Linked DNA regions of Oryzias latipes. The protein of the gene in region 1 interacts with the protein of each later gene in a pairwise test. Links are inferred from orthologs where the notes say so. Each region holds a gene or a part of one and is shown in the gene's direction. Other genes may lie near its edges. The genes, in order: fam92a and cby1.

The links.
Region 2: the proteins of fam92a (region 1) and cby1 interact in binary tests that used the Homo sapiens proteins (3 or more experiments, as listed by UniProt). The two-hybrid records come from large-scale screens. The link is inferred for Oryzias latipes from reciprocal best matches to the Homo sapiens genes CIBAR1 and CBY1.

Annotation. Positions count from the first base shown.
Region 1 is NC_019869.2:22,775,152-22,779,523, forward strand, and holds the start of fam92a (protein FAM92A), read left to right. Parts: upstream 1-1,442; 5' UTR 1,443-1,609; coding exon 1,610-1,638; intron 1,639-2,055; coding exon 2,056-2,290; intron 2,291-2,425; coding exon 2,426-2,494; intron 2,495-3,134; coding exon 3,135-3,236; intron 3,237-3,324; coding exon 3,325-3,330; intron 3,331-3,525; coding exon 3,526-3,630; intron 3,631-3,718; coding exon 3,719-3,832; intron 3,833-4,372. UniProt on the Homo sapiens protein: Plays a critical role in regulating mitochondrial ultrastructure and function by maintaining the integrity of mitochondrial morphology, particularly the organization of cristae.
Region 2 is NC_019877.2:2,312,718-2,316,569, forward strand, and holds cby1 (protein chibby homolog 1), read left to right. Parts: upstream 1-1,650; 5' UTR 1,651-1,734; coding exon 1,735-1,740; intron 1,741-1,974; coding exon 1,975-2,073; intron 2,074-2,215; coding exon 2,216-2,321; intron 2,322-2,723; coding exon 2,724-2,836; intron 2,837-2,971; coding exon 2,972-3,052; 3' UTR 3,053-3,351; downstream 3,352-3,852. Other genes in the region: phospholipase B-like 1, read right to left, coding at 1-71, 165-248, 372-594, 963-1,068. UniProt on the Homo sapiens protein: Inhibits the Wnt/Wingless pathway by binding to CTNNB1/beta-catenin and inhibiting beta-catenin-mediated transcriptional activation through competition with TCF/LEF transcription factors.

The DNA of each region.
Region 1 (4,372 bases):
CAATGGCTACACTGTAAAAAATCATTTAAAAAGCAAATATCCACATGCGTGTGTAAATGTTTAATGTGTGAGTGTGTTAAAGCTGACACAAATGTTGTATTTTGTTATCTCTTTGTTAAGATATAATTAATGAAACAATCATTTTAGATGCTGCTTAATGTTGTGTCTCAAACCCATGGAAAAAATGTGGATATCACTGTAAATATTTTTTAACTACTGGGATATAAGAAATGCCTATTATATATATATTATCTCTCTAGTTTTATCTCTCATAGATTTTAAAAGGACATCGACACCAGCTGTTTGTTTGTTTATTTATTTGTTTATTTATTTATTTATTTTATTGCAAAGGTCACCTGGAAATTGTTTCACATTTACTTGTTTATATACCACAACATTTTGGACTGATGAACTAAACTTACTGGAAAAACATATTTTTCATGATGTTTCTTTTTGTTATAAGCACATTATTATTGGATAAGAAATTGAAAACAATGATGTCTATTTAATCAGTATAATTTTTCTTTCATCAAAATTCCATATGCAAACATGTAAATACAGTGATCCCTCGCTATAACGCGGTTTACTTTTCACGGATTTGCATCGTACATTGTGTTCTGCATTCTGATTGGCTAAAAAGTCACTCCGCTTCTTCTCTACGTGTGCGTCAATAACGTTTAATATGTGCAAATTCGCTTGCAATTTCTAGTTTCTCTGAAACCCATAGAAAAAAAGAGCGACAACAACTGCCTATCACTATGTTCTTCTCCCAAACAAACACAGCTGCAGCGCGGGCTTCATAAGAAGAAAACACTGCAGAGTGGAGTCAGGATGCAGCGGCTCAGTCTGAAGAGCAGTGAAATACACCTGAGTCACTATTTGTCCGACTGTACTTTGTATTTTTTTCATAGTCATTTTTAATTTTCTCCCGTTTAATCGCGGTGGGCGGGGCTAATCTCCGCAATTTGAAGCTTTCTGTTCATATTGATGATTAAAATTATTATTTGACAGTACAGTACAAAAGTTATTTTTTGAAAAAAAAAACGTTTCTAAAGTACTTTGATTTGTGAAACAAATGCTTGAGCCTGTAAAATGGTTTGTTCTTTCTTTTCAATGTATAATAGAGTTTTTAATTGGATAATAATTGTAAAAAAAAAAAAAAAAAAAAAGGTTTCTACTTCACGGATTTTGCCTATCACGGGTGCTTTTTGGAACGTAACCCCCGCGAAAAGCAAGGGTTTACTCTATACCCACATTAAACCTTATTTACCTCTTTTCATTTGTGATATAAAAACAGTGAAGCTTTTATAATCTCAAAGAATTTGAAAACTATAAAAAAAACTGTTTTCTTAAAAGTGGGGGTGTAAAGTAAGCTTTCATTTTTACAACTTTGTTGTACCTTTTTTGTTTTACAGTCAGAGTCTAGGTGTGTGCGTCATTACACAACTCGTTTTCCCATAATGCAACAGTCAAGCGGAAACGCTGTGGAGAGTCCATGGAAACGACAACTGCCTCAGTAGCCGTTAGCTTGCCTGCGGACTGCAGCAAGACTTAAAAAAAAACAAAAAAAACAAAACGGTTTCTCGTCACGATTTTTGAAAACACAAACATGATTCGGACTCCTACTTTAAGAGCCAGGTAAGAAAAATGTAACGAACTAAAGAACTCTGCTATTGTGAGAACAATTTGTTCTTGTGATGACTAATTTAGCTAGGTTTATACCCTCAGTTTCTTGACATGTAGCCGTTTTTTATATTTTGTCAGATCATTTCAATTGCTTCATGTTCAAAAGTGATGCTTTTCCAGGCTAGCCCGTTCATTTCCTCGCTTTTTTCACCAGAAACAATGAGAACACTTTCAAATTAAAAGCATAAAATGGAAATAATTTAGCTTAACACAAATAAGATTAAGGCCAGGTTTATATGGTCATTTGCTTATTACTAAGTTTTTGGAGGATTTTATTTGCTGGTAGTTTTAACATATATAAATTGAGAAACACAATTTTACCCCTCACGTTTTACCTTCATAATGACTGTTGCCATCAATCCCCTCCAGAGACAACCAGACAAAGAAGATCCAAGACAACATCACCAGGGTGGAGAAACACTTCGGAGAGATGTGCCAGCTGTTTGCGGCGTACACTCGCAAAACCGCCAGGCTGCGAGACAAGGGGGACCTTTTGGTCCAGCAGATAGCAGTTCATGCCGACACAGAGACTCCAGACCTCAAGAGGGGAATGAAGGAGTTTGCTGACCACCTGGCCAAGATTCAGGACTACCGCCATGCCCAGGCACGAGATACACAAATCTTTTACCCTATTTTTATATTCTTTTTTGGTTTGTTTTGTTTTTTCCATATATATATTTCCATATCAGTTATGGTTTGAATCCATCCATCATGGTAATATTGTTTTCCTGTTTTCTAGGTGAAAAGACTTGAGGCCAAAGTTGTGGAGCCATTAAAAACTTATGGCGCTGTGGTAATACGCAAAAGAGTGAGTCACGTTCCTATCCTGTTTTCTCTGATACATTTATTACAACTTAGGCAGATTTTTTGTGACTGCATTGAACTGGGGGGGGAAAAAACAATAACTAAGATTTCTGTAGCCAACAGAGGGCAGTGTTATTCAATACATGTCTCCACTTTTAGGAACTTGAGTTTATGTCTAAATACTGTATTTTCTTCTTGACAAAAAAATTTCCCACGTGTGGGATCAATAAAGTATTTCTGATTCTGATTAACTGTAGCACTACATTTTACAAAACATTTTTTTTTCATTCATGGATTTAATTTACACAATTTTTGTAAAATATTGGCTAAAAATAAGACTTTTTTCCTTGGTTGTAATAAAAATAAAAAGCCTTGTGTAAAATTAAATTACATCTTTATTCAAATATACAATTTATTTACATTTATTTTGAATTAGAAATAGTATAAATACAGTCTCCTTTTTGATTTTGTACATTTCTTTTTATAAAAGCGGATGTTTTTGCTTGATTCCGTCAGGATATTGACATGACACTATATTTCTGTATCTGAGTGTTTTTTTTGTTTGTTTTACACTTAAAGCATTATTAAATCACTGCATTCTATGTCCCATTTGATTGATTCCTCTTGCTTTTACCACCCTTCAGGAGGATGTGAAAATGACCCAAAGTGCCATAGATAAAGAAGCCAAACAGGAAGCTCAGCTCGAGAAAACAAGACTGAAAAACCCCTCTGACAGACAGATCATTGTATCCTTTTCATTCCTATTTCTATGAATGTGATTCATACTAAATGTGTATCTAAATATTCATGTTTTTCCCTTGACCAAATCCTCAGTCTCATGTGGGTTTGGGGTAAACCCTTTTTCTCCTTTCGTAATGATGTGGCATATCGTGACTTTAAATTATTTCCAGCATTATTTAACATTTTTCACATCTCTATGGATAAATAGCTGATTCCAAAAAAGCTTAATTGAGGTTGACCAAAAGGAATTATAGTTTAATTTTGTCATATGATTTGGAACTTTCCTGCCATCAGGCTGAAAGTGAATTACAAAAAGCCACAATGGATGCAGCACGGACCACCAAGCAGCTGGAGGAGACCATCGATGAGTTTGAGCGGCAGAAGATCCGTGACATCAAGGTTTTTCCCCTCATCTCTGTCATTGTTCCATAATGGGCCACATTTGCCTTTGTTCCAGTTCTAACTCCAGCCTTGCGTCCCTCTTTAGAAAATCTTCAGTGAGTTTGTGACTGTGGAGCTGTGCTTCCTTGGGAAGGCCTTGGAGCTGTACACCTCGGCCTACCAAAGCATTCAGAGTGTGGACGAGGAGGCGGACTTGGAGGTACACTGGTTTTTCTGATCCCGTCCAGCTAATTAGCCCGCTTTAGTGTGCTAATGTGCTTCAAACACAGATGTTGCATATTAGAAAAAAAAAACTGTTCTCTCACATTCCACTGTTAGAAGCCAGGTGTGTAATTTTGTGCCGGTTTGTGTACAGCCTCTGCTCTTTGTTTGACTGACCTAAAGACTCTGTTTAATGTTCCTACATTTATCGCAGAGATATCGACTCATTACTCACTGACTCATTGTTGATACACATCCTATTGTCTCCACCCTTTATCGCAACACACCTGTACAATTTAAAAAAAATGTGTTTGTTCAACATCAACTAAATGGTTCCCCATACCATTTCTTTTCTTTTTCTTTAAACAAAGCTTCAAGAGCAAAAGACAAAGGATCAGTGACATTCTGTGAGTGAGGAGGTTCTTCCAGTGGTTGCGTTTGCCTTCCACCCTCGCAATCCTCTCATTGTGTGTGTGTGTCTGTGTGTGTGTGTGTGTGTGTCTGTCAGTCAACTGTCTTGCTCTCATTCATATCAATG
Region 2 (3,852 bases), on another chromosome or scaffold:
CCAAGTGTCTCCACAAGGGGTCGCTGTTTCTCCTCAGTTTGACCTGCTCTCTGGCCCAATCATCCTGTTTGCTGAGGGTCATTCAAGACCCAAAAGAATGAAGATTATCACAAAAAATACATAACAGCAACTTGTATTGTTACTTTTGATGACATTAACTGGACCTCAAAAATGTTTTCAGGGGGATTAAAACTCGTTCATCTTTTATCAGCTGAGGGTACATGTTGGCGTAATGACTGATCATCTGTCTGCAGAATCAAAAAGACCAAAGCAGATTAAAGAAAACATTATTTTTCAACTTCCAACAACTGCTTTAGCCGTGTTAAACAACTTTTTTCCCTTTTGCTGGCTCTGAAAGCGTTCTTCCTCACCCAGCGGTGAGGTAGCCCTCCAGGTATCCAGCCAGGAAGAAGGTGGTCTCATCATCCAGCGGACCCGCTCCATAGCCTGCCCTGATCTCCAGCACACCCCATCCAGAGAGCAGCAGGGTGTCGTTGAAGTAGCCGTAGGCCCCCCCCTCTGTCTCCATCACTCCCTCCGTTAGGATTACACTTTTGTGGGCAGCATCCCAACGCACGGTGGCCTCTCGGAGCTCTACCATTGTAGGAGGATGACCAGGGTTAGAGGGTTGAGGTTAGATAACAGCGTTATGTAACATGCCTCCTATGAAATATTCTATAATATCGCATTTTGTTTGTTTTGCAGGGTTATTTCCTATTAAAATAAACGTAATCATAAAACACCCGAGGTATAATGTTTTGTTTGGAAAAAAAATCGGATTTATTCTTACAGAGGGGATTTTACAACTATGAAAAATGTTTACTTTACTAAAGATGTTAACATTAAATATTGCAAAAATACAAGAAAACTGCTGAATGGCAAAGATCACGGCACCATGCAACACATTTAAATAAAACTCAACAGATTGGTTTGTAATGGGAGCATAAAGGAGCATTACTCACGGTGGGATTGAGGCTTAGAGCACTTTTTCCTTGGTAGATCCATGGGTTGCAGCGATGCAGTCAGTGTGCACAGCAGTATACAGATACTCACTCTTTGAAAGTCCATATAAGCTGTTAAATCACAGAGCTGTCTCTGCTTCCAGTCCGAAAAACTGCATCCGTTTATGTTGGTTTTTGATGCTTGTCACATCCAAAAAGTCTGGTTAGCGGGGGGGAAAAAATATACAACCACCCCAGATGGGACTCGAACCCACAATCCCTGGCTTAGGAGGCCAGTGCCTTATCCATTAGGCCACTGGGGCTGCGTCGACAATCGCAGCGAGATTAGTATTAAAAGAATATGGACAAAGGAAGATGGGTTGTTATTGCTTTGTTATGTTTATATATATATATTTTTGTTCTTCAAATTATGTCCCAAATTGGAGAAGCGGCAATAAACTTCGGCAGAGAAAATGAATTTTGGTGATTCGCCAAACTTTCAGGGACGATTCAACTTTCACATTAATAGGGGGGTTTCATCTTCCCAAAAGCAATATTACTTTTGTAATGTTTACACCTGTTTTACATACATCAACAAACGTTTAACACAACAATTTCATTTATATATTTTTTTAATTTATTGTTTTTTTAAACAAAATACTTTTAGCTTTTTGTTTTGTTTTACATTTTACAGTTTCAAATGGTAACTTCGCACTTGCGCAGTAGGTAGTTAGCATGCTAAAAACAAGCGAATATCAACACAGTACACTCGGATTCTAAATAAAAACAATATATGGAGGTAAATATATTATCTGAAAGGTCAAAGTAACACAAAAACTACTAAATTCTCTTATAAGTTAAAAAATAAATGAATACATCATCACAAAATCTACCAGATACGATTGTTTTAGACAGCTAGCATCATGTATTAGCATGCTAGCTTAACCCCCTTTAGTTGCTGCCGTTAGCAACCATAAACAAATGTTAGCTGACGTTATACAGACACTGGGATCGCTGTGACTCTCCTATGCAGGACCTTAAAAGATCTCTGAAGATGCCGCTGTTTGGAAACTTGTTCAGTCCGAAGAAAACTCTTTCCCGCAGATCTGCGTCCATGTCCAGCCTTCACACGGTGAGTGAAAAGCCTCACTTTAATTACAGGGCTGTGTTTGTAATTATAGTTAAGGTTATGAAGGATGGCTGATGAAGTGAGCAGAAAAGGGAGAAGCTTTCATCATATCCTGGTGTTTATTTGACCTTTTCATCTGTTTTAGTTGGATCATTCGACCAAAGAACTAGAGCTGGGCTTAGAGTACGGACCTCCCGAGGCCAACATCGGAGGCCAAATCTGGAAGTTTGAAGGTGGACAGTGGATCACAGGTAGTGACTCCTCACACAGTTTGTGTTGCATCTTCTTTACATTTAACTTCAATAAACAGGTTATGTTCAAATCAAGGTCTTAAATCCTTGACTTGTGTTCTCTGTGGATTAAAATCTTCCATTCGTTTCGTTTTTATGACTATTTCCTGCATCGCTTACTGTGTTCAGTCAAAGAAATAGAAATATATTTTGTTTAAGCAAAAGGTGTTTACAATACTCACTCAAGGAAAATAGATTTAAAAGACAAGTATTTTAGAAAAACATCAGGAAAAGAGAAAATTTTGTTTATTCCTAGCAAAGTGAAGTGTTTTCATAACAAAAATAGAGTCAAAAGATGTTTGTTTTTTCTTCACTAGTTTGCTTTATCCCAATATTAATATCTTACATTTGATTTTTCTTTAGAGTCCGTTGGGAACACGTCTAGTAGGGAAATGCAGCGGCTCAAAAAGAAAAATCTCCAACTGGAGGAGGAAAACAATCTCTTGAAATTAAAGATTGAGGTTCTGCTGGACATGGTACGTTTTTAGTCATTTCTTCACAGGAAAAGTACATCTAAAGGCATCGATTTGACCTTGAAATGTACATACAAATAACAAAATTCCGTCTTTACATGTAGGGATTTAATGACAAACAGTGAATTTCTTTTCCAGCTGACGGAAACTACAGTGGAGTATCATCTAATGGAGAAAGAAGTGGAAGACATAAAGACTCAACACAGAAGAAAAAAATAATCTTTTCTTTAAGTGTCTTTTATTTATCTGTTGAAATGTGTTTTTTTTAAAATGATTTGAATTCTTTTTTATGTCATTTTTTGTGGGTTTTCATCTTTTTAACATCTGTATTTTTTTTTAAATAAATTGATCATAATGGTAAAAAAAAAAAAATCAGCTGTAAAATGAAACAAACTTTTGTTCGAGCATGAAATTTCACTCTCATTTGTCAAGGTAAAGTCTAAAACCACAGCACAAGTTCTGCTGACCTTTGACCTTCAAAAAATAAAAATAAAAACTCCTTTAGTACTTTCTACAAATGTCGTCTCCTAACTCCTCGAGCATCATTGGGATTATGAACGCCGTTGGCGCAAAAGTGGCGTTCCCCTGTTGCCGGCACATTTATTCCACGAATCCTTTAAGCTGAATGAAAGACGATAATAATAGGAATGTGGGCGTGGCTAACAAAAAGCCTCTGTTGCTAAGGAAATCAAGAAGTTTACTTTAGCAGATTCCTCTAAAAATGACATTGACTTGTTCGTCATCCCCAGGCGACCAAAAAATGAAATGGTTGCTATGGAGATAAAACCAACAGAAGGCCACCATTTTAAAAAAAAAAAAGTATTTTTTTTGTATTTGTGTGCAGCTCTGACCGGGCTGGCAGGGGTAGAAGGGGAGCCTGAAGGGGGTAGGTGTAGGTCAAAGGGGGCCGTGGAAGCCGTTTAAAGCTACTCATGGCTGTTATTTGACTTCTGTGTGAAGCTATTGTTTACATCTTTCTGCTCTACATTAAAAAAAGAAACAATATTTTTTCATTCGTC